Linked DNA regions of Caenorhabditis elegans. The protein of the gene in region 3 interacts with the protein of the main gene of each other region in a pairwise test. Each region holds a gene or a part of one and is shown on either strand. Other genes may lie near its edges.

Evidence for each region.
Region 1: the proteins of ctn-1 (region 3) and ZK131.11 interact in a two-hybrid assay, tested with the Caenorhabditis elegans proteins (2 studies listed by BioGRID).
Region 2: the proteins of ctn-1 (region 3) and dyb-1 interact in a two-hybrid assay, tested with the Caenorhabditis elegans proteins (one study listed by BioGRID).
Region 4: the proteins of ctn-1 (region 3) and slo-1 interact in a two-hybrid assay, tested with the Caenorhabditis elegans proteins (2 studies listed by BioGRID, with this or other methods).

Annotation. Positions count from the first base shown.
Region 1 is NC_003280.10:13,790,210-13,795,247, forward strand, and holds the start of ZK131.11 (TORC_N domain-containing protein), read left to right. Parts: upstream 1-2,019; 5' UTR 2,020-2,070; coding exon 2,071-2,129; intron 2,130-3,625; coding exon 3,626-3,712; intron 3,713-5,038.
Region 2 is NC_003279.8:1,481,220-1,489,095, reverse strand, and holds the start of dyb-1 (Dystrobrevin-1), read right to left. Parts: upstream 6,014-7,876; 5' UTR 5,991-6,013; coding exon 5,861-5,990; intron 4,378-5,860; coding exon 4,220-4,377; intron 4,174-4,219; coding exon 4,037-4,173; intron 3,243-4,036; exon of another isoform or gene 3,171-3,242; coding exon 3,085-3,170; intron 3,041-3,084; coding exon 2,845-3,040; intron 1,918-2,844; coding exon 1,686-1,917; intron 1,490-1,685; exon of another isoform or gene 1,469-1,489; intron 1,328-1,468; coding exon 1,001-1,327; intron 673-1,000; coding exon 421-672; intron 29-420; coding exon 1-28. UniProt on the Caenorhabditis elegans protein: Plays a role in cholinergic transmission and as a functional partner of dystrophin (dys-1), necessary for muscle maintenance. Required for localization of ctn-1 near dense bodies in muscle cells.
Region 3 is NC_003279.8:2,605,088-2,609,746, forward strand, and holds the start of ctn-1 (Alpha-catulin), read left to right. Parts: upstream 1-1,653; coding exon 1,654-1,845; intron 1,846-2,124; coding exon 2,125-2,208; intron 2,209-3,100; coding exon 3,101-3,221; intron 3,222-3,773; coding exon 3,774-3,940; intron 3,941-4,659. UniProt on the Caenorhabditis elegans protein: Required for slo-1 potassium ion channel clustering at presynaptic terminals and in egg-laying muscles; clustering of slo-1 mediates the intoxicating and sedatory effects of ethanol on worms.
Region 4 is NC_003283.11:18,490,417-18,495,330, forward strand, and holds the start of slo-1 (BK channel), read left to right. Parts: upstream 1-1,889; coding exon 1,890-2,044; intron 2,045-2,714; coding exon 2,715-2,925; intron 2,926-3,130; coding exon of another isoform or gene 3,131-3,175; intron 3,176-4,600; coding exon 4,601-4,719; intron 4,720-4,875; coding exon 4,876-4,914. UniProt on the Caenorhabditis elegans protein: Potassium channel activated by both membrane depolarization or increase in cytosolic Ca(2+) that mediates export of K(+). Its activation dampens the excitatory events that elevate the cytosolic Ca(2+) concentration and/or depolarize the cell membrane.

The DNA.
Region 1 (5,038 bases), on a different chromosome or scaffold from region 3:
GATCCAATTTTGAGTTGAGCTTTTACTATTGTCCAAAAGGAGTACACTCTCCGAAATCTTTTGATCTTTTTCCCCTTCTCGAGAAATTTGATCCAACCTTGCACATGCAGATGCTCAATGACCTTATCATCTGTTTCTTCCCTTTTATTCCCCGCCCGCCGGTTTTACGAGGTTCACCCCTTGCCTCCCCAAGCAAAACTGATGTATCTCAGCGGACACGCACTTGAGCAGAAATTTGTTAAATAGTAAATTGTAGGAAAATGTTTGGGCTACAAATTGTTAGTTGATAAATTTTTTATATCGTCAAAACCAGTAGAGTTATGACGGTTTTACGGCAAAAATTTGAGATTTTAGGTGAAACAATTGAAACATTTATATCTCTTTAGTTTTGAAAATTATGAAAAACTTGTTAACTGGCAAATTGAAACCAATTTTCCAATTTTTTAGGCAATATTTTGCTAGTTGGCAATTTTTTGATAGCTCCCATGGTTACTGAGAAATAGGTGGTTCAAATTATGGATATCCCTGTACCCGTGAGATGTCGGCCGCAGCGTGGAAAACACGATTTGCAGCGGACACTTTACTGGCTTTTACAAAAACTCCGCTACCGCCCGCCACCGCCTGCTGATGCCCGCTACCGGCCTGCTACAGCACCGCTACCGCCCTGCTACAGCACCGCTACCGCCCGCTACCGCCCGCTACCGCCCGCTACCGCCCGCTACCGCCCGCTACCGCCCGCTACCGCCCGCTACCGCCCGCTACCGCCCGCTACCGCCCGCTACCGCCCGCTACCGCCCGCTACCGCCCGCTACCGCCCGCTACCGCCCGCTACCGCCCGCTACCGCCCGCTACCGCCCGCTACCTCCCGCTACCGCCCGTGAGGTGTCGGCTGCTTTATTAACTTTTTCATTTTCATATGCGTCTTGTTCTATCAAGCTTTGTCGCATAAATTCCGCTCAAATTTCCTGAGGGTACATCTTTTATCGCCGACCCGCACCACGACCGCCATGTGCCATTTGTCTCGATAGTTTTATGAGAAGAACAAGCACTTTCCATGTTGACATATGTCATTTTGCCACCACCACACACACACACATATTGATGATGAAGACGAACTATTTGTTCGTTTTCCGATATCATTTACTGCTTCCGCCGCCGTGTTCCTAGTTTTCGGGAATTTTTTACTAAATTTGACATACAAAACTGCTCCCTTTTTGAAAAACTCGGCCACACCATCACTATATAGTCTCAGCTCATCACAGATTGGCGAGATTCGAATTTCGCGCGCTTCTCACATTACCAGGGCTTTCGAGTGGGGTGGGTGATATTTGAAAGAGATGACCACCGCCACTATTATAGTTAGATTTTGAGATGAGGAGTACTAAAATGCATGCAATTTTGGACTCATATGTATTTTGTATTTGTGATTGAAAAAATTGTATATCTAAAAAATGACCCGAGTTATGATTCTTCCCGCAAGTTTACTTTTTTTTTGAAAAATTTATTTTTCCCTCACTTTCTTCGCCTTTTTCTCATTGTTAAGTCGATTTTTATTGTTTAAAATTTATATAAAAATATAGATAAACCAGTCGTTTGAATTTTCCGCCAAAATTGGTTTTATCAGAAAATTAAAATTCCCGCCAAAAATTTTTCTCAGAAAATTTAAACTCCAGCCGATATTTTTCTATATTTCTATTTAAAAAAAAGCCAGAAAAAATTAGCAAGCTTATTAGAATAATAGGATTTTTGAAATTTTCCTACCCCGACTCTATTTGAAATGGTGGCCGAGTTTTGGTTTTTTCGGCCACCACCCAAAAATTCTGGTATAGTACTACTACTACTACATAATATTGTGACCTCTTTCAGCTTCTTCATACATACACTTTCTCTCGCCCCATTCTTCTTATTCTCATATATTTACGTTCCATTCTATTCATTCACTCTCTCGTTTTACCCTATTCACCTTTTCTCCCAATACGCTTCGTTTTTTTTAAAATTTTCTGCAATGATGATTTTCAGAATTATTTGAACTATTGACGTCTACAAACACACGCCTGGGACTCACACAAAATGCCTGACGCCTATATGATGGGCTCGACGGCAACGCTCAATGCTCGTCGGCAGTACAGGTGAGAATTGGGCAAAATTTAAATATTTTTAAAAATTTATAAAAATTAGCTCAATTTTACCGGCTGATATCTCGGTTGTTCCAAATTTTCACAAAAAATTGTCAACTAAAAATGTTGCCCAAAAATTTCTGAAAAATACGTCAGTTGGCAGCTTTTTAATATTCCTAACCATTTTGGAAATTTGCTGGTTTGAAATTGGGTAGTTTTTTTTCAGGTAGAAAATATGTTCGATTAGCCTAACTTTGCCGGTTCATATCTCGGTTGGTTTTGGTTTTATCAAAAAATTGTCAACTAAGAAAAGATTTATTTAACAATTGTCTATATTTTTGTAATTAAAAGTTTATTGATATTTTCAAAATGAGCTGAGATATTAGTAGTATAAGTAGTAATGGTGCTCAAATCGGGCAAAATCAACAATATTTCGAAAAATCGCACAATTTTTAAATTGAAAAAGATATTATATAGAACTATTACTTGTTTAATGACAATAATATTCTAACTTTAAAATTTTTTGTTACATGCCTACGTGCCTACCTCATGCCTGCCTTTCAGTTGAAGTAATTTTTTGAATGTTCAACACTGAAACAGTGAGAAAAAAGGGACCAGGAAGTAGGGACGAGTGTAGGCCTGCCTATGAGGTATATACTGCCTGTTCATGCCTGCCTGCCTACCACCTAGTTTCTGAACATTCGTAAACTTTCCAATTAAATGTTTTGTTTAAATACCTGTTCAACTAACACTAAATATAATCAGGAATGATTTGTAAGTAGGCAAGAGTGTAGGCAAGGTGTAGGTACAAGCCGCCTTGTAGGTAGGCGTATGTCGCAGGCCTACCTATGCCTTCCTACCTACCGCCTAGTTTTTGCACATTTCTCAACTTTCCAATTAAATATTATTTTTCAAATATCTGTTCAACTAACACTGAATATAATCAGGAATATGTGTAGGCGCAGGCCGCCTTGTAGGTAGGCGTAGGTCACCTTGTAGGCAGGTAGGTAGACAATTTGTAGACATATACCTTCTTATAGACATACAGTTGGAGGCAAACTGCCAATTCAGGTTCTCTCCCGATTTCTCCCAATTTCCATTTAGCCACCCAAATGGCATGACAGTTCTCGAAACTAATTTTCTTTTTTGTTATTATATAAAATGCCTATAATTCTTTCATTTCTCGACGTGAAATCCAACGTTTCAAGTTTTCTTAAAACTGATTTTTTTAAAAATATTTTTTGTTGGAAAAATCAAAATAATAATATTCTAACGTATTTTCCTCATTTCCAACTCTGATACTTTCCGACAAAAACAGTTTTCCGAATCCACGTTGGCATGTTTGGAGTATTTCGCAATCCAATATGTTTTATGAAGGCAAAAGGGTTAGTTTTTTAGGGTTGCGGCATGGGGAAATTTGCAGAAAAACATGTAAAATGTACTATTTTGAAGCCAAAGAAAACATCTTAAAAGTTGAAAAATAGTTCCAAAAAATTTTAAACTTTCAGATCGGTTGCATTTGGCACGTGGAAAGTGGGCGGAGCCAGGAATATGACGGAGCGAAGGTCCGAGGAGCCACTTTCAAGACTGAAATGGTTGGTTTTTGACTTTTTTTTCTTAAATTTTATCGTTTGTATGCTAAAAATGTACTGAGAATTGAAAAATAGGATATCGATTATTTGAAACAAATTTTTTAATTCAAAAAAAAAAAATTCCGAATCGATTTTGATTTATTTCAAAATATTTTAAAATTGTGTTGGAAATTCAAAAACAAGTGGTGGTGCCAGGCTGCCCCCCATTACGGCTTGATCTACAAAAATGCGGGAATTTTTCGCCCAAAAAATGTGACGTCAGCACATTCTTAACCATGCAAAATCAGTTGAGAACTCTTCGCGTCTCTTCTCCCGCTTTTTTTGTAGAAATATGTAGATCAAACCGAAATGAGACACTCGGACACCACGTGAAAAAGTTTAATGTATTTAAAAATTAAAAAAAAAATTCTGTGAAAATTGAAAAACCGGAAAAATTTTTGAAAATAAAAAAAAAAAATTAAAAAAAAATTCCAAAAAAATAAATAATTCCAGAGTATTGTTTTAAAAATTCGTTTAAAAAATCCTAAAAATTTAGAAAGTAATGAAGTTTGAAAAAATGGAATTTTTTGAAATTTCGGTAATTTAAAAATAAATAAGTGTGAAAAAAAATCAATTTTTATAAAATTAAATTTTTTGGCAGTTTCAGCAATTTTTTTGAATGTTCTAAAACATATAAAAATCCTGAAATTGGTGGCCGAATTTTCTCCATCATCGGCCACTCTAAAAAGTTTCAAAAGTTTCGAATTCCCCCCCCCCCCCCCCCACTTCGGAACACGAAGCGCATTTTAATGGTGGCAAATAGGATTAGGTGGATAACAATGGGATTGCCCCCGGTTGCCTGTACAATCCTCTTTTTTTCACGGCAAAAGGTAATCCCAGTATCCCCCGATGACTGGTTTTCTCTGCGTCTCCCCCGTCCACCCTCACACTATCGGGGTCCATCCCGTACTAATTGGCCATTTCCATGCCTATTCTTCTGCTGCTGCTGCTGCAACCTGAATCTACAATTGTGTTTCATTTTTCCAGTAGTCGTACTATGTTATGTGTTCATTTCTTTATATATATATATATATATATATATTGTCTTCTCTGCCCTCTTCGTCTGAAATGAGGTGGAACCGCTCTCAAATAAAGAAGACGGTGATTGAGTGGTGGAATTGACGTGATGAATAAGGAATTTTATGAGATTGGACCTAATTTTGTATGGAATAGGTTAAAGGGACATTAGGGGTTTTGATCTACTTGGGTTGGGGGAAAAAGAGCAATATCCTGTGAACGTCCAGTCCTGCCGGGCTTCGGTTTTTTTTATAGAAAAACCGAAAAACGAAA
Region 2 (7,876 bases), 1.1 Mb from region 3:
ATACACCTCCTGATGGTTGGGGTCCCGTCTGGAAAAGGTTTTTGTTGTTTTGAAATCAAAAAATCGATAATTTAATTTTATTGATTTTTTGAAGGTTGAATTTTTCAGAAAAGCCGATATTGAATTTTTGATTTTTACTGAAGCTTAAAAAATCGACAGGTTTACACATTTTATCGGTTTTTATCGCCGGCGGAAAATCAATAATTTTATCGATTTTATCTCCGGCGGAAAATCAAAAACTCCAAAAACTTTGTTTTCTTAAAATATAAAAATTATCGATTTTTCGAATTTTTTGAAAATTATCAAGTATTTTTTCTAAATTTGGAGGAAAATATAACGATTGTTTTTGAATTCTGCAAAATTATCGATTTTTACATTGTTTATCTATAGAGCGCGTTAGCCACAGTAGGTATGACCTACATTCAACTGAGCCATTAAATGCTCCAATTGCATCATTAATTCTCTCCTCCTCTGTTGCATTTCAAACATTTTCTCTTCCAATTCCATTTTCCGGTCGCGGAGCCCGGCGAGCCCGTCATCGGAAGTTGTTTGGCTCTCCAGTCGAGCCATTTCCCGTACCATCATTGAATTTTCTTCTTCCAGTTGAGCAATAAGGGTCCGTTCGTCTCCGACCATTGAACTATTCATACTTCGACCGTTTGATAGGGGATACTGCAATTTATTGATTTTTAAAAAGAAAAATCGATAATCGATCAAATTTTATTAAATCAATAATTTGACTTTCTGCCGCCGGCGGAAAATCAATAATTTTATCGATTTTTTTGATTGCCGGCGGAAAATCAATAATTTAATCGAATTTTATCGCCGGCGGAAAATCAATAATTTTATTGATTTTTTTTGTTTGCCGTCGGAAAATCAAGATGTTTATCGATTTTTTTTATTGCCGGCGGAAAATCAAGATTTTTATCGATTTTTATTGCCGGCGGGAAATCAAGATTTTTATTGATTTTTTCCTGATTTTTTTCGATTAAAAACTCACATCAGCCCTTCCCGACAACTTTGCTGCATATCTCGCAATAAGCTTATGCTCATCATCAATAACTCCTCCATGCGACGCCTGTCCCGGCAGAAGTACCGGTGACGTCGGCCAGTCCGCTGATGACGTGGCAGCGTGTTGCCGGCGGATCGTCGTCGGTGTCGCCGGGACGATGTTGTTCAGGTTTAGCGGTCGAGCAGGTTTGCTGCTGACCGGGCCACCGATTTTTGCGTTAAAAATATCGATGTTTGCATCGCCGACGGTTGACGTGGCAGGAATACATTGGAGACTTTTGTGAATTGAGTGTACGAGCTGTTTTGTCGGCGATTTCTGAAATTACTAAGTTATTGATTTATTGATTTTGGAGTTGAGAACGCTTTTTTCCATAATTTTATCGATTTTTTTTTTGCCCGGCGGAAAATCAATAATTTCATCGATTTTTGATTGCCGGCGGAAAATCTACATTTTTATTGATTGTTTGTTGTCCAGCAATTGATAATTTCTCTGTTAACTAATCGTTTTTGTCGAATGAAAATCGATAACTTTATCGATTTTTTTGATTGCCGGCGGAAAATCAATAATTTTATCGATTCTTCATCGCCGGCGGAAAATCAATAATTTTATCGCGCGCTTTATAGATACATTTTCGTGTACTCCACGTGGAAAATCGATTTTTCAAAAAACTCACATAGCTGGAATATTCTTTCATCTCGTGCTCATTTGAATGATTTTGACTCGTCCTTCCCCGCCAAAAACAGCTTTGACACAACTGATAATTGGCGCATCGCTGACATTTATACCGAAATCCTGTGAAACTTCTGACTTGACACGCATCACACACCACCGGATGGTACACGTTGCTCACAGACGCCATTCGATGTAGCAAGGGGAGCCACATTATGCATGGGGGACATGGATCGCTGGAATATTAATTTTGTATGATTTTTTGATAATTTGACAGAACAGGTTTCAAAGTGTTGGTTGATAAATTTTCAAGAAAATTAACGCAGTGGCTATAGAGTTACACCATTTTGAAGATTCTAGGCCACGGTGAGAACTTCGGTCACCCCGTGGGGGGGGGGGGGGGACCCGTGACCCCATGACAACTAAAATTCGATTTTATTTGATAATTTGATAGAAATTGTTATATAAAGTGTTCTGATAAAGTTTCAAGAAAATCGGCGCAGTGGCTTTAGGGATGCACTGTTTGAAAGTTTCTAGGCCACGGCGAGGACTTCGGTGGCGGCGTGGGGACCCGTGACCCCATGAAAAGAAAAATTCGATTTTTTGATTTGGTTTCATTGAATAAGTTATAGATACAATTATTGCAGAATTAAAAAAAAATTTTTACAGTTTTTCAAAAGTTACACCGCTCTGAAAATCCTAGGCCACGGGGATGCCTTACGTGGCCGCGGGAGGACTTCAGCCCTACGTCTATTATTTTTTCTAATTTTTCAAAATGTTAGGTGTTTCAGAACTTCCAAGACACCTAAATTATTATTCTGGGTGAGTTGAGGGACTGGTTTTCCCCCCGATGGGAGAGGAAATGCATTTTCTCTTTCGCGCGTGGTGTCAGAGTGTCTCATTTCGGCGTGATCTACGTAGATCTACAAAAAATGCGGGAGAAGAGACGTAGAGTTCTCAACTGATTTCACATGATTAAGAACGTGCTGACGTCACATTTTTTGGGCGAAAAAATTCCCGCATTTTTTGTAGATCAAACCGTAATTGGACAACCTGGCACCACATGCTAACGTAGTTTTGTGTAAAAGGTTAATTTTTTCAAAACTTTTTCAAAACTTTTTCTAAAATCTATTTTTTTATTTATTTCCAAAATTGATATCTACCTCAAAAAAGTGTCCAGAAACACATTCAAAGATACTTTCTCATCCTTATGAAAGCACTGATTAACCGCGTTTTCGGAAAATCCAAACGTCGGTGCTTCGAAAACTGCAGTGGTTAGGGAGAGGATTTGTTGCAAAAAATCAGTAAATTTAATATGATCCATTAATCCATTCGAATCAGCGATTTGAGAGAAAATGTCTGAAATTTCAGATTTTTTTTTGAAATTCGCAAGCGCAACTCACATCTCAGCTTGTCCACCAATTTTCCAGCGCAGAGTGTTGCCAACGCGACTTTTATTGAAAAAACCGTCAAACGTCCGGTATTTTGTCTGAAAAATTGGCTTTTGAAGCGTGTGACGTCACTTCTAGGTAGCGGAATATCGGAGTGTCGTTGTGAGAATTACAGCCTAACTGCGCACGGGGTTTTGGCCTTCCTCATTGAATTTTTCGCGCTCCATTGATAATCGCCTGCCGGACGGGAAAGTCGTGTACTCCACACGGACAAATACATTTAGTTTTACAACTAAAATCGAGCCGCGACGCGACACGCAACGCGCCGTAAATCTACTGGCCTAGTTCGGCAAAAACTCTTCCATTTCAATTTATGAGGGAAGCCAGAAATCCGTGACTTTATCAAAAAAAAATTTTTTTGCAAAGTGTCCTTATATGAATAAAAATTCACTGGGAAATTTTAATTCCAGAGATATGAAACCCTGAGATTTTTTCTGCTCTTTCAGTCAATTTTCATTTTTGAAAAATCAAAACATTATGCTGAAAACAAAAAAAAACAGAAAAAATTTCGGATAGTTGAAATCTGTGGGAACCAAATTCCGGTGGAATGTGAAATTCCGCGGATCCGAAAACCGGAAATTTTCTTTCAGTTTTAGGATTTTAAATTTTTTCATATATTACCAAAATTTCTGTTATTTACAGAACATGTGTAGATTGAATCCCGTAGATTCCAATACGCGGAATCAAAATTCTTAGGGAATCTAGATTCTGGAGACACGAAAACCCGAATATTTTTCGTTATTTTTTGCAGTAAAAATTGGAATTCTAAATACACAGTTTTCACGCAGTAACACAAGAAAAAATTCTTAGAATTTCGAATTTGCCGAATCTAAATTCCTGGGGAATCTGGGTTCCGGGGATTCAGAAGCGTGAGTTTTTTGTCCGAGAGGAGTCCAAAACTCACTTATCATAAGCACCTAACAAAAACGCGAGTAGCAAAGAAATCGATACATCCGTGTCCACATGTTGTGACGCTACAAGTCTTTTATTCAAATTGTGGAATACTGTAGTTAGCAGAAGCTCGGCGCGTGACGTTTTGATCTGAAAATTTCCCCCACATTCTCAATAGAGCACACTTGCAACATACCACAGTATGTAGGGGTAATGCATTGAGTCCGTTTTCTCGAAAAGCTTCAATCATATTCCAAATATCTACCAAATGAACTTTCGTCTTTTGTTGAATAAATCGCAGTTTACAGGCGGCTCGATACGTGGCAAATCTGATGGAGTCGAAATCTTGGAGACCTGAAAATGCGCTCTATTGATGATTCAACTTTTTTTCTGAACTTTGGGCATTAACCAATGAAAGCCAATAATTTTTTTGCACTTTTTCGCAAAGAAGAATTATTTATAAGCTTCCCTTTCTCAAGAGGAGTAGCGGAAAAATTCATGAATTTTCAAAAAAAAACTCGGGTAGTTGATATCCACAAAATTCTTAGGGAATTTTCGATTCTGTAGAATTGGATACCGGAATTTTTAGGGTTTTTTTTTTGGATTTTTTTTGAAGGTATTTCCGTGTTTTTTCGACAACATTGAGCATTGAGAAAAAATGTTTTTAAAAAAGTCGGGTAGTTGATATCCGCGGAAACAAAATTCACGGGATTTTTATGCCGCGGAATTGGAAACTCGAGTTTTTTGTTCTTTTTGCGGCGAAATTTTTGCTTCCACTCGTTTGTTATTTTATCCAGACCCTGACTAATTTTCATAGAAAAAAATCCGAAAATTTTATTCCCCGAATGCCAAATTCCCTGGAATCTGGATTCCCGTGAAATTTCGATAATGGGGGATTTGAAAACGCGGAGTTTTTTGACATTTTTTGTTGTGTTAACTTGTAAATTTCATGAACATTTTGGAGAGTGTATCAACTTTGAGCATTTCGTATAAATTTTGTTTTAAAAAATCCAGTAAATTCAAATCCACAGAGTACTTAATTCCAGGGAACTCTAAATTCCGACGACTTAGAAACGTGGAAATTTTTCCGTTAATTTTTTACATAATAAGGTATTTTTTCTACTTTTTCTTTGAAAATTTCCGAAAATTCAAATCCACCGAAAAAAAATCCCAGAGAAAATAAAATTCCGGAGAATCAAAAACGCGGGAATTTTTTGCGTTTTTTAACCAATTTTTCCATGAAAAAATTGAAATTGGAATTGAGAAAAATGGTAAAAAATTTGGGTAGTTAATATCCACGGAAACAAAATTCCCGGGAATTTTTATTCCGCTAAATTGGAAACTCGAGATTTTTTGTCCTTTTTCGGCGAATTTTGAGTTTCCACGTAATTTTCACATTTTCTGCAAAAATTTATATTTAAAAACTCAGAAATCCAAATACGCGGAAGCGAAATTCCAGGGAAATTGGATTCCGTAGATTCAAAAACGTGAATTAAAAAAAAAATTTTTTTGCTGTGCTAACTTGAACATAAATTTGAAAAAAATTTTAAAGAAAAAAAATCCCGTAAATTCAAATCCACCGAGTACTTAATTCCAGGGAAATCTAAATTCCGAAGACTTAGAAACGTGGAGATTTTCCGTTAATTTTTTTTACATAGTTAGGTATTTTTTCTACTTTTTCTTTGAAAATCTCTAATGAAAAAAGATTTATTGAAAATTTCCGAAAATTCGAATCCACCGAAAAATAATCCCATAGAAGTTAAAATTCCGGAGAATCAAAAACGCGGGAATTTTTTAGCGTTTTTTAGCCAATTTTCCCGCAAAATTGAACACCCACGCATTTCATCAATCAATTGTTGCATTTCAGATGCCACAATTGGTGGTACAGAATGCATTGCACGATGATGGTCTGGTGATGGTGCACTGCTCGGCTCACGTGGTCCTCCTCCACCATTTGACCACAACATTTCAGGAGAAAAACCCAGAGTGTCTGAAATTTAAAATTTAAATTTTAAATCAATTTTAAAAAAATTTAAACCAAAACTCCACCCACAAAATGGCTGGCCAGAGCTAAAAAGTGGTAGGGTTTAAAACAAAGAAAATTGGGGGAGCTCTGGCTCCTAGTGGGCGGAGTCTAACTCTGGGAGAGAAGACATTTGGGGGGAGCCTAATGGGTTTTGCATGTATGCGCGCTGATTTGCTTGGCACATTACTAAGCCAATATGTTTCAGGGAACCAACGAGGTTGTCCACGAGGAGTACAAAAAATATTTTTGGGGAATTTCGACTCCGCGGGATTTTAAATCTCAGGATTGAGAGAAAAATAATAACGGTCACGTGGTATCAGGTTGTCCCATTACGGCTTGATCTACAAAAAATGCGGGAATGAGAAATCAGTTGAGAACTCTGCGTCTCTTCTTTTCCCTCATTTTTTGTAGATCTACGTAGATCAAACCGAAATGAGACACTCTGACACCACGCGCGTAAGAGAAAATGCATTTCCTCTCCCATTGACACCACTTGAATCCCGGTAAATCAAAATCCCAGGGAATTTCGATTCCGCGGATTTGAACTCCCGGGGGCGTTTTGTAGAAATTTGTTCAATAAGCGTTGAAATCCACGGAAACTTGATTCGCCGGAATTTTCGTTTCCGTGGATTTCAACTACCTTACGGTTTTTGAGCTAAAATTTTTTTAGGTTGAAATTCGCGGAAACTTGAATTCCGGAGAATTTTGATTCGGCAGAAATTGAATTTGTGAAAAAAGTTTTTTTTCTAATCGGGTAGTTGAAATCCCCCGAAACTGGAATTTCGCGTGTTTCAGGTTTTTAAGCGAAATAGGCCCAAACTTGTCCACGAGAACTACACAGAGTATTCAAAAAAAGTTCTTTAAAAAAAATATTTTCAAAAAATACAACAAAAAACTTGCTTTTTTCCACGCGGAGTACACAATTTAAAGCCTTTTTATCATTAGAGCGTGTTTGTATAAACAATTTATAAAAAAATTTCAATAGAGATTTCCACTAAAGAAAACTTCAAAATTCGGATTAAAAATTTGTCCAATAGAGCGCGATTGCATTGCAACAACATACGAATTTTCAGGTAATATTGCCATTAAAGCGCGATTGCAGCAATAATTTTTAGAAAAATGTTGAAAAAAAAGGGAAAATCGAGCCAAAAATACACGAATTAAAAATTAATTCGTGGTATACGCTTTTGCTCTCGGAGCACTCAAGGGAACACTGGAGAAAGTGAATTTAGGCAAACGTGAGTGAGAGAGAGAGACTTAGAGAAATAGAGAGTATTAGAGAAAGAGAGACACAAGACGGATCGATGTGCAAAAGGAGAGGAGGGGGGGGGGGGAGACGTATTGGCTCAGAGAGCAGCGGTGGGATGAATGTGAGCATACGGAGAAAGATGGAGAGAGAGAGAGAGAGAGAGAGAGAGAGAGAGAGAGAGAGTGCAGAGAAAAAGAGATAGGGGGCCCCCACTGAAACATTGGGACCCCTCACCCCATCCGTCTCAACTCAATGAGGTGTAAAAGTATACGCATTATACACAGGGATATTACGAAGTGGATGAGGAAGAGAAAATTAGTGGCCTAAGTTTTTGGATTTTCTAGGCCACGAAATGAAAGAAATTTTGGCTTAACGTGTGTTTGTTTCTCCACTTTCACAATTTTAAAAGGAGGCGGTTTTATGCGGAATGTTTTTTTTTGTTTAAAATTCGTGTAGATCAGGGGTGGGCGACAAATTAATTTGTCGACAAATTCGGCAAATCGGCAAACTGCTGGTATGCCGATTTGCCGGAAGTTTTCGATTCCGGCAATTTGCCGGTTTGCCGATTGCCGGGAAAA
Region 3 (4,659 bases):
TTTCCAATTGCCGAAAATTTCCGGAAATTTGCCGGTTTGCCGATTTGCCGGAAATTTCAATTCAACAAAAATTCCCACAAAAAAAATTCTAGGTCATTTCCAGCCAGTGTGCAAACCACCCCTCTTGCAATAATGGAAGAGGAAAAAAATCCTAGGCCAGCACTACAACACCCACCCCTGTTCACATTAATGGCCCCCTCATAAAATAATAATATGTTTCTAATCGATTCGGGTGATCGGTTCGTAGTCGTCACCCATCCATCTCTCTTTCTCTTTCTTCTTCTTTTTCTTCTTCTCACTTCTAGTCCGCGCCGCGGCGACAAGAAGAAGAAGAAGAAACTGGCAAGAGAGAGAGAGAGCCCCACTTTACACTCTTGCTCCCTCTCCCTCTCTGTGTCCGGAGCACAAGAGCTCTCGCAGATGGGGAGCCGCAGCAGCAGCAGCGGCGACGGCGGTGGAGCAAGAACACAAAGTGCCCTCTGCCTTTTAGTCACCCTCTGTTGAGCACAACAACCACCGGGCTCCCCGTGGTCACTTTTCTGGAAATCCTCTTGAGACAGTTCTCTTGATACCATCTCCTTTCTCATTTTTCCCTCTCTTCCGGGTTTTGTTTTTACCCCACAGATTTGTTTTTTTTTGTTTTTTCTTATTGCCGAAAGTGTTCCACTTATATTCCATGCTCCTTTTTTTCTAAAAAAAATTGGTTTTGAACCAAGGAAAATTTAGATTTTTCAATCAAACTTTCAAAAAGAAAGCGGGTACAATACTCAAAGTTTAAAAGCGCATAGCCTATTTTGGGCAATGAAAAATTTTTTCCGCCTTTTTTTCTGATATAAAAAATAGATTAAATTTTTTTTTTTAAAGAAAGACATTTTGAAAGGTCGGCAAATTTTTTCTGTCAATAAATTGGGCGAATTGCCGATTTTTGGAAAATTGCCAATTTGCCGTTTACTTTTCAGATGTAGGAACATATGTAGGAACATTCACAGGAAAAATTTGCCGGTTTGCCAATTTGCCAGAAATTTCAATTCCGGCAAGTTTTTCCGATTTGTCGATTTGCCAGAAATTTTTTCCGATTTGCCAATTTGCCAGAAATTTCAATTCCGGCAATTTTTTCCAATTTTCCGATTTGCCGGAAATATTCAATTCCGACAATTTGCCAACTTGCCTGAAATTTTTAATTCCGGCAATTTTTTCCGATTTGCCGATTTGCCGGAAATTTTAAATTTCGGCAATTTTCTCCGTCTTGCCGGTTTACCGGCTGTTTTATAGTACCAAAAGTTTAAAGGCGCTTAGCCTATCCAGGGTCTTTTTTACCGGATTTCCTGATTTTTTTTAAATAAAAAAATTAATTCAAATATATTTTGGAAAATCTTGATAAAAATAGTTTGAAAAAAATTAAATTGATTTTTTTAATTTTTCGTTTTTTAAACTTCAGTTTTTGGCCAAAAAGCCTTCAAAATCATAAAGTGAATTTCGAATTTTGGGGATACAAATTCACTAATTTTTTAAAAAATATTTTGGGGCTTTGAAACAAAAATTTCAGACTTTTACCCGACTCTCATTCATTTTAATTCCTCCAATTTCTAACCGATTTCCTCCGTTTTTTTTTGATTTTTTGCTGAATTTCATACTTTTTCAATCAATTTTAATATGAAAATTCCAGGTAGGCGCGGCGGTCATCTTGCCAAGAAGATGGCGGCGTCATCGATGTCATCGTTGACGTCCTCATATCACACGACGGCAATGCCGTCCTCGAACTCTGTGGTCCCGCCGTTTGATGCTCGAAATTTGGAAATTAAGACAAAATCCATAGAGCAGACACTTATCCCGCTAGTTACTCAGGTAGGGAGTTATAAAGAATTTTTAATTTTTTTTTAATTGAAAAATGTCTTACGGGGCCTAGAAACCCCCGCAAAAAATTTTGTGAAAGTTATGACGTCACTAGTGACCTAAATTTTTTGTGACGTCACACATGACCTAAAAACTTTTACCGAACATCCTAAAAGATTCTACTTTGGCGCTGCAAAAAATGACATCACCCTTTCTTTGGGCGATTATCCATGTTCATTTCCGTCGTTTGACGGCCCATTTGGCACGATTTATTTATTTATTCGTTTATAGATCACCACACTCGTCAACTATAAAGAAAGTTACATGGCAAGTGGGAAGCCGAAATCTGAACGAGCAATGAGAGCAGCGTTGAAGGTTTGTTGGAAATTTTTTAATCTGAATCTGGAAAAAGTGAAATTTAAAAAAAAGAAGTTTTAATTGAAAATTGATCAATAAAAGTTGAGAAAACTAATTTTTCTTTTGTGTAATTTTTAGACAGAAAAATTCTGAAAATTATAAGAAGAAATTGAAGAATTTTCCCCGGAAAATGTTGAAAGATTCCTAAAAAAAATAACACAAAAATCGGAAATTCTGATCATTTCCTGGGAAAATTAAAATTTGAATTATTAACTAAACTATAGGCATTAAAAAACCTTTAAAAAATCTCTGAAATTTGTTTTAAAACAATTTCTGTGGAACATTAAAAAATCTCGAAAATTTGAAAATTGTAATTTTTTATCATAGAAACTTTTTTAAAAATATTGACCAAAATATTACGGCAAACACAAAATTTGGAGAATGCGTACTGTGCAACATATTTGACGCGCAAAATATCTCGTATCGAAAACTACAGTAATTATTTAAATGACTACTGTCGCGTTGGTGTCGATTTACGGGCTCAATTTCTAAAATAATAATAAATCAAAACTATTTATTTATCAATAGAATATATGGAATATCGCTCTCGTAATTCGGAAAGTAATTATTTTCGAAAATAGAACCCGTAAATCGACACAAGTGCTACAGTACTTATTTAAAGAACTACTGTAGTTTTCGCTACGAGATATTTTGCGCGTCAAATATGTTTCACAATACGCATTCTCAGAATTTTGTAAATGATAAGGTATCCTAATTTTATATTATAACAGTTTTCTAAACAAAATTTTTTAAATATCAATATTAGCATGGAACGGACAAACCCAGTTTGGATAGAATTTACAAATTTTTGTGGAAAATTTTAATTTTTTTAAACTTTTCCTGTTTTCAGATCGGAAGCGCCGTTGAGGCAGCAATCGAACGGTTTGTGTGTGTTGGAGAGACGATAGCCGACGAGAACGCGGATATTCAGCCGGAAATGTATGATGCGTGTACTGAAGCTCGGCTAGCTGGTAAATTTATTTTTTGATACAAAAAAGTCATTGTGAAAATCTGGGAAAACTGGTGGTTTTTGAAGAAAATTTTTAAAACTTCCAAAAAAACTGCCGATTAAAATTGAAACTCTGAAATTTCCAAAAAATTGTGCAAAACCATTTGCCGGTTTGCCGATTTGCCGGAAATTTCAATTCCGGCAATTTGCCAATTTGCCGGAAAAAAATCGTTTGCCGCCCACCCCCTTATGAGAACTACGGATTAAGATAAAATAGCTTATAGACCCCCTTCTCTCAACTGAAACAAAGAAAGGCACCTCATTTCTTCACCCCGGCGGGGTGTCATATTACATGAAACACTCAATGGGTGTGATTATTCCATCGTCATCTATGTATACACGAAGAAAAAGAGCACAAATCCATGCTCACGTATCCAATTACCAGAGCCTCTCCATTTTTTTGCAAAGTGTGTGGGACCTTGTTTAGTCCGAGAGAGCTCTTACCTTTGATCTGTGGAAAGCCAAATTTCCTGCCAGTTTCTGAGATCAAATATAAAAATCCGATATTTTTCAGGTGCTTCAATGGCCAACCTATCATGTGCATGTAACGATGATCCCAACTCGGTGGTGGATAAAGCTGTGCTCGTCCGAGCCAGCAGGCAGCTCTTGAGCAGTGTCACCAGAGTCCTGCTACTCGCGGATCGGGTGCTTGTCAAGCAGGTTTTGAGGGCCGAGGATAAGGTGAGACAGATGAAAAATGTTAATTTTTCAAAATTTCCAAAAATTATTTGAAAATTTTCTGACAAATTTCATTCTGCAAAATCGACAAAATTCCTTAAAAAATAAAGATAAAAAATCTTGAAATTAAAAAAAAAATTAAGACAAAAATCCACCAAATATTGGCAAAAAATCACTAAAGAACCACAAAAATCTACCAAAAAATAGGAAAAATTATCAATAATTGCCAAAAAATTTTTTTTTAATTTGCGGAAAAAATTGTGAAAATTCAGCGAAAATAACTAAAAATTGACGAAAATTGTATGAAAATGTACAAAATTGCTCAAAAAATTGGCCAAAATTTACCGAAAAAATGGAAAAAAAACCGAAAAAAAATTACCAAAATTTACGGAAAAAAAAACCGAAAATTGGCCAAAAAACGTCAGAAATGTACAAAAATCTACAAAAAAAGTGAAGGAAATAATTCACCAAAAATTGCCAAAAAATAGTAGGACATTTTTCAAAAATTGGCAAAAAATGCCGAAAAATTGAAAAATTAATTGTCTAGAATAGTCAAAAAGAAAGCCAAACATTGGTTAAAACGACCAAAATTTACCAAAAAAAAAAAATTTCTAACAAATGGAAAAAAAAACTTACCAAAAAATGTCGAAAAAAGTTACAAAAATTACGAAAAAAAATGACAGAAATTTACAAAAGCCTACCACCAAATTTTTCGAAGTTTT
Region 4 (4,914 bases), on a different chromosome or scaffold from region 3:
CTAAACATGTTAAATTGAATATTCCCAAAACAAAAAAAGTTCCTTCCCTCCCGTTTTCCGCCAATTTTCCAGGCAGCTTCTCCTCCTAAAATGAGGTCGTTGGAGACGCAGACACACATCTCTTACGCATTCCAAATGCTTCAGCTTCTTCTTCTGGCTCGCGGAGCACCACGAGCAGCAGCAGCAGCTTCTGCTATTGCCGGACGGACGGAGGGGTGTATTGATCCATCTCTCTGTGCAGGGAGGGAGGGGGAGCCAGAGAAAGGTTGAGGAGGGGGATGAGAAGAGAGGAGGGGGGAGAATGTGTAGTGTAACTCTTCTTTTCTCCCCCTTCCTCCATATATCTTGATATTTTTGCACACTCACACACACACACACGTTCTCCAGCTCCATACACTAACCCATTAAGTACTATGTGTTCAATTTTCTAATTCTCATAAATTTTCAACTTTTAATTTAGATTTTGATCTACTTTTTTTTGTTTGCAAAAATTGAATTTCCCACCAATATTTTTCTGAAAAAAATTGAATTTCCCCGCCAAAATTAATTCTAAGGAAATTTGAATTTCCCCGCCAAACTTTTTCTGAGAAAATTCAAATTTCCAGCCAAAATTAGTTCTAGAAAAATTTTAATTTACCGCCAAAATTTTTCAGAGAAAATTTGAATTTCCCGCCAAAAATTTTTTTCAGAAAGTTTAAATTTCCCACCAAAATGTTTCTCAAAAAATTTGAATTTTCCGCCAAAATTTTTCTAATTGTAAGAAAATTTGAATTTTGCGCCAATGTTTTTCTGTGGAAATTTGAACATTCCTCTAAAATGTTCCTCAGAAATTTTAATTTCCTGCCAAAATTAATTCTATTAAAATTTGAATTTCCTGCCAACATTAATTCTAGGAAAATTTGAATTTCCCGCCGAAATTTTTCTGAAAAAATGTGAAATTGAATTTCCTACCAATTTTCTCAGACATTAATTCCTTTTCCTAAATTATAAAATTATAAATTATAAATTATTAAAATTTGAATTTCCTGCCAACATTAATTCTCAGAACATTCAAATTTCCCGCCAAAATGTTGTTCTCAAAAAATTTGAAATTCCCGCCAAAATTTTTTGTTGAAAAGCAAAAAAAAAGTTGTTGTTCATTTATTTATTTTTTTCCAAAACTTGTGTTCCAGAACAGCAATTCATCAAGTTTTTTGCTGGTTTTCGATGAATAATGGCGGGGCTCCCTGTGGCATTTTACCATCGAAAAACCAGAATATAAAATATACCTATTATAAATCTGGAGTTTTGAGGAAATTGAGCTTTTGGTCGATGTACCATGTTCTTTTTTTTTTAGGCTTTTTGGCAAATAACTCATTTTTTAAAATTGAAGTTGAGCCATTTATGAAGTCAAATTCAGGCGGCTTTTTACTCCTAGATTGCGTTTAAAAGTCGAATATTGATAGAAATTTTCAAAATTTCCCGATTTTCTCGATGCACCATGTCCCCCAGAGCCGGACATTTTCAGTCAAAAATACGTGGGATACGTGAAATTTCCGGGGAGTTTGTCAGGAAAAATGACAGATATGTCTAGGCACGCTCTACGTCTCTACTATTTTCTCCAGCCTAACTGGTCCATTATGTTCATTTATTCGTCGGGAGGGAAGGCCTCGCTGCTCCGACCTAATTCTTTTCTCACTCTACACACTACTTTTTCCGCTTTTTGTCCCCACCACCACTAGTTTCTGGTGATGACATCATTTTTCTTCGTGAGAAAATGAGCATATTTTATGAGATTTTTAAACTTCTTTGGGCTTTTGGGAAAAGTTTTTTTTTTTTGAGACAAAAAAAAATTTCCAAAAAATTTTCAGACTCGCCGAAAGCCGTCGGGTGGACCCTTCGTCGACACGATGGGCGAGATTTACTCGCCTTCGCAGTCGAAGGGCTTCAATCAACCATATGGATACCCGATGAATTGTAACCTTAGTCGAGTATTCATGGAGATGACTGAAGAAGATCGAAAGTGCCTGGAGGAGCGCAAATATTGGTGTTTTTTACTGAGCAGGTAAGGAATATTGAGCTGAAACTAGTGAATTCGAATTTCTGAGGTTGCCAGCTTTCAATTGACCCCCATCTTGATATAATTTGATGTAGTTTTAAATTTCGGACGCGGCGCGGTCGCGTCGCGGTTGAAAACTAAAATTGTCAAATTTTGAAAAATTAGGCTTTATTAACTACAAAACTTCAAAAATTATTGAAAATTAATTCAAAATGAACTAATTCAAAGCAAGAGTAAACACTTTTGACAGTGGTGCGACCGCGACGCAACCTCGCCGCGTGACCCAAAATCTCAAAATGCTCCAAACCCAGTCAATATGGGGCTTATTTTGAAGCTAGCGACGTAACCAACATAAATAGTTCATTTTCAACAGGCCAAAATGGTCTGTTCTCAAAATTGAAACTTTGAAACCGCGACGCGACCGCTTTGCACCCAAAATCTCAAACGCCTCCAAAACTATCCAATATGGGGCGTATTTTGAAGCTCATGAAGCCACAAACTCAAAGTATCAAGTTAAAAGTGTCAGAGATAGACAATATTAAAAATTTGTTTTTAAAAAAATTCCGACCGCGACGCGACCGCTTTGCACCCAAAATCTCAAACGCCTCCAAAACTATCCAATATGGGGCGTATTTTAAAGCTCTCACTCTTCCAAATCCAACAAAAATATTTTCAGCATCACCACATTCTGCGCCTCAATGATATTGGTCGTAATATGGCGAGTGGTGACACACCTGTGCTGTCAACGCCGAGAAAAAGAGTTTGTGGAGCCCATACCTGCTCCGGAAGCCGTCCAAATAAATATGAACGGGTCGAAGCACGCGCCAAGTGAAACCGACCCGTTTTTGAAGCAACAAGAGGAAAAACACTTGGGATGGATGACAGAAGTGGGTTTTTGAACAAAAAAAATTTAAAAAAATACCTAAAAAATTCAAATTCCCGCCTAATTTTTGTTTATTTTAAGTTAAGTTTTGTCTATTTTCAATTTTCTACATTTTTTCAAATTTATGAAATTCAACAAAAAAAATTTCAAAAAAAAAACCGAAAAAAATATGCACGAAAAAAGTGGGCGGAGCTTGTTCTTATTTTTAGGATTCTCTAGCGATGCAGCTTTACAGAAGTATTCGGGACCGCAGGGCAAGTCCAAAAGTTTTCTGAAAAATTCACTGATTTTTATGGAAAATGTGGAAAATGTTCCCCCTTACCCCGCATTTTTTCTATTTTTCCGAAAACTTTCAGGAAATGTTTTTTTTTTTGCTTTTGTAGTTATCGCATTTTTTTTTATTATTTATTTTATTATTTGAAGTTTGCTGAATTAAAAAAAAAAAAAAAAAAATTTTTACAAAAATGAACCCCTGTGGGGACAATTTTGGGACATGGGACACTCCGGGACCATTTTCAACAGGAAATTCATACACTCCGTGAAATTTCCAAAATTTTGACACCCATATTGCCTATGCTCAGACAAATTTGAAATATGCAATGATTTCGGGCCGTTTCAGGCCGTTTGAGGCCGAATTAAGCCAAAATTACCAATTTCTCAAATATGATCGATATGGGGGTTGTTGAAACGCAAATTTTACGGAGAATTCGAATTTTTCAACTAGAAGTCTCGCAAAGTGACCCATGTCCCCGATTTGTCCCCACAGGGGTGCATTTTCTAAATTTTCACACTTTTCTCCCTATCGTAAATGTTAAGTCGTGTTAATGTGGAAATTTGCATGACCAGCAAAACCCGATTTTTCTCTATATTTTTGCATATTTTTTTCTGCACACTTTTTGGCCACGTGGAGCTGCACTTCTCCACCACCCGCCCACACTTTTTCACACTTTATTTTCGGGACTATTTTCATTTTTGGTAGATATGGATGGGATTGTTCTCTGAAACTAAAGGTGTGTGGTTATATTAGACTTTGTTTGGTTTTGAGTTTTCAAAAAAAAAATTTCAAAAAAATAATTGTTTTCCAAATTTCTAAAATTTTGGAATTTTCCTGAATTTTCAACGTCTGAAATTGTGATTTTCAACCTTCTGATTGTCAGCTTTCATTAAACACCTATTTTGACTAGTTTCCGAGCAGTTTCATTTTTGGTGCTTGCGTTGCGGTCGCGTCGCGGTTTTGAAGCGAAATTCGTCAAAACCTAGTTAAACCAAAATAAATACTCATAAATAAATATTATTTGCACTTGAAAATCAATATTTCAGTTACAAAAACTCATTTTTCACACTGAAACTTAACAACTAAATTTGCGCACGCGACGCGACCGCGCCGCGCCCCCAATTTTTCAAACTTATCGGAACATAGTCAATATGGGGGTCAAATTGAAGCTGGAAACGTCACAAATTCAAATTTCACAATGAAATTTCTCTAAATTAAATTATATTTCCGAAAATCTCAATTTTCATTTCAAAACATGAAGTTTTTTGTAGTTTTAGCGTTTTTCTCCGGACTTTATCCCCTGAAAACTAGAACCGAGTGAGTTTGATGTAGCCTACACCTGTTGAGAATTACCACACATTATTTGTTGGCCTATTTTTAAAACTAAATTTCACAAATTTTTCAGGCCAAGGACTGGGCTGGCGAGCTGATATCCGGACAAAGTCTGACGGGACGGTTTCTGGTACTTTTGGTGTTCATTTTATCGATTGGATCGTTGATTATTTATTTTTACGACGCTAGTTTGTGAGTTTGAGTGTTTAAAAAAAATATGCAAAAAATTTCGAAAAAAAATTTTCGAAAAAAATTTTTTTTTTATAAAAACTTTTTTCCATGTGTTTTAAAATAGTTTTAAAATAGTAACTTTATTATAGATTTCATAAATTTTTCAAAAATTTTCAGCCAAAACTTCCAAGTAGAAACGTGCATCCCGTGGCAGGA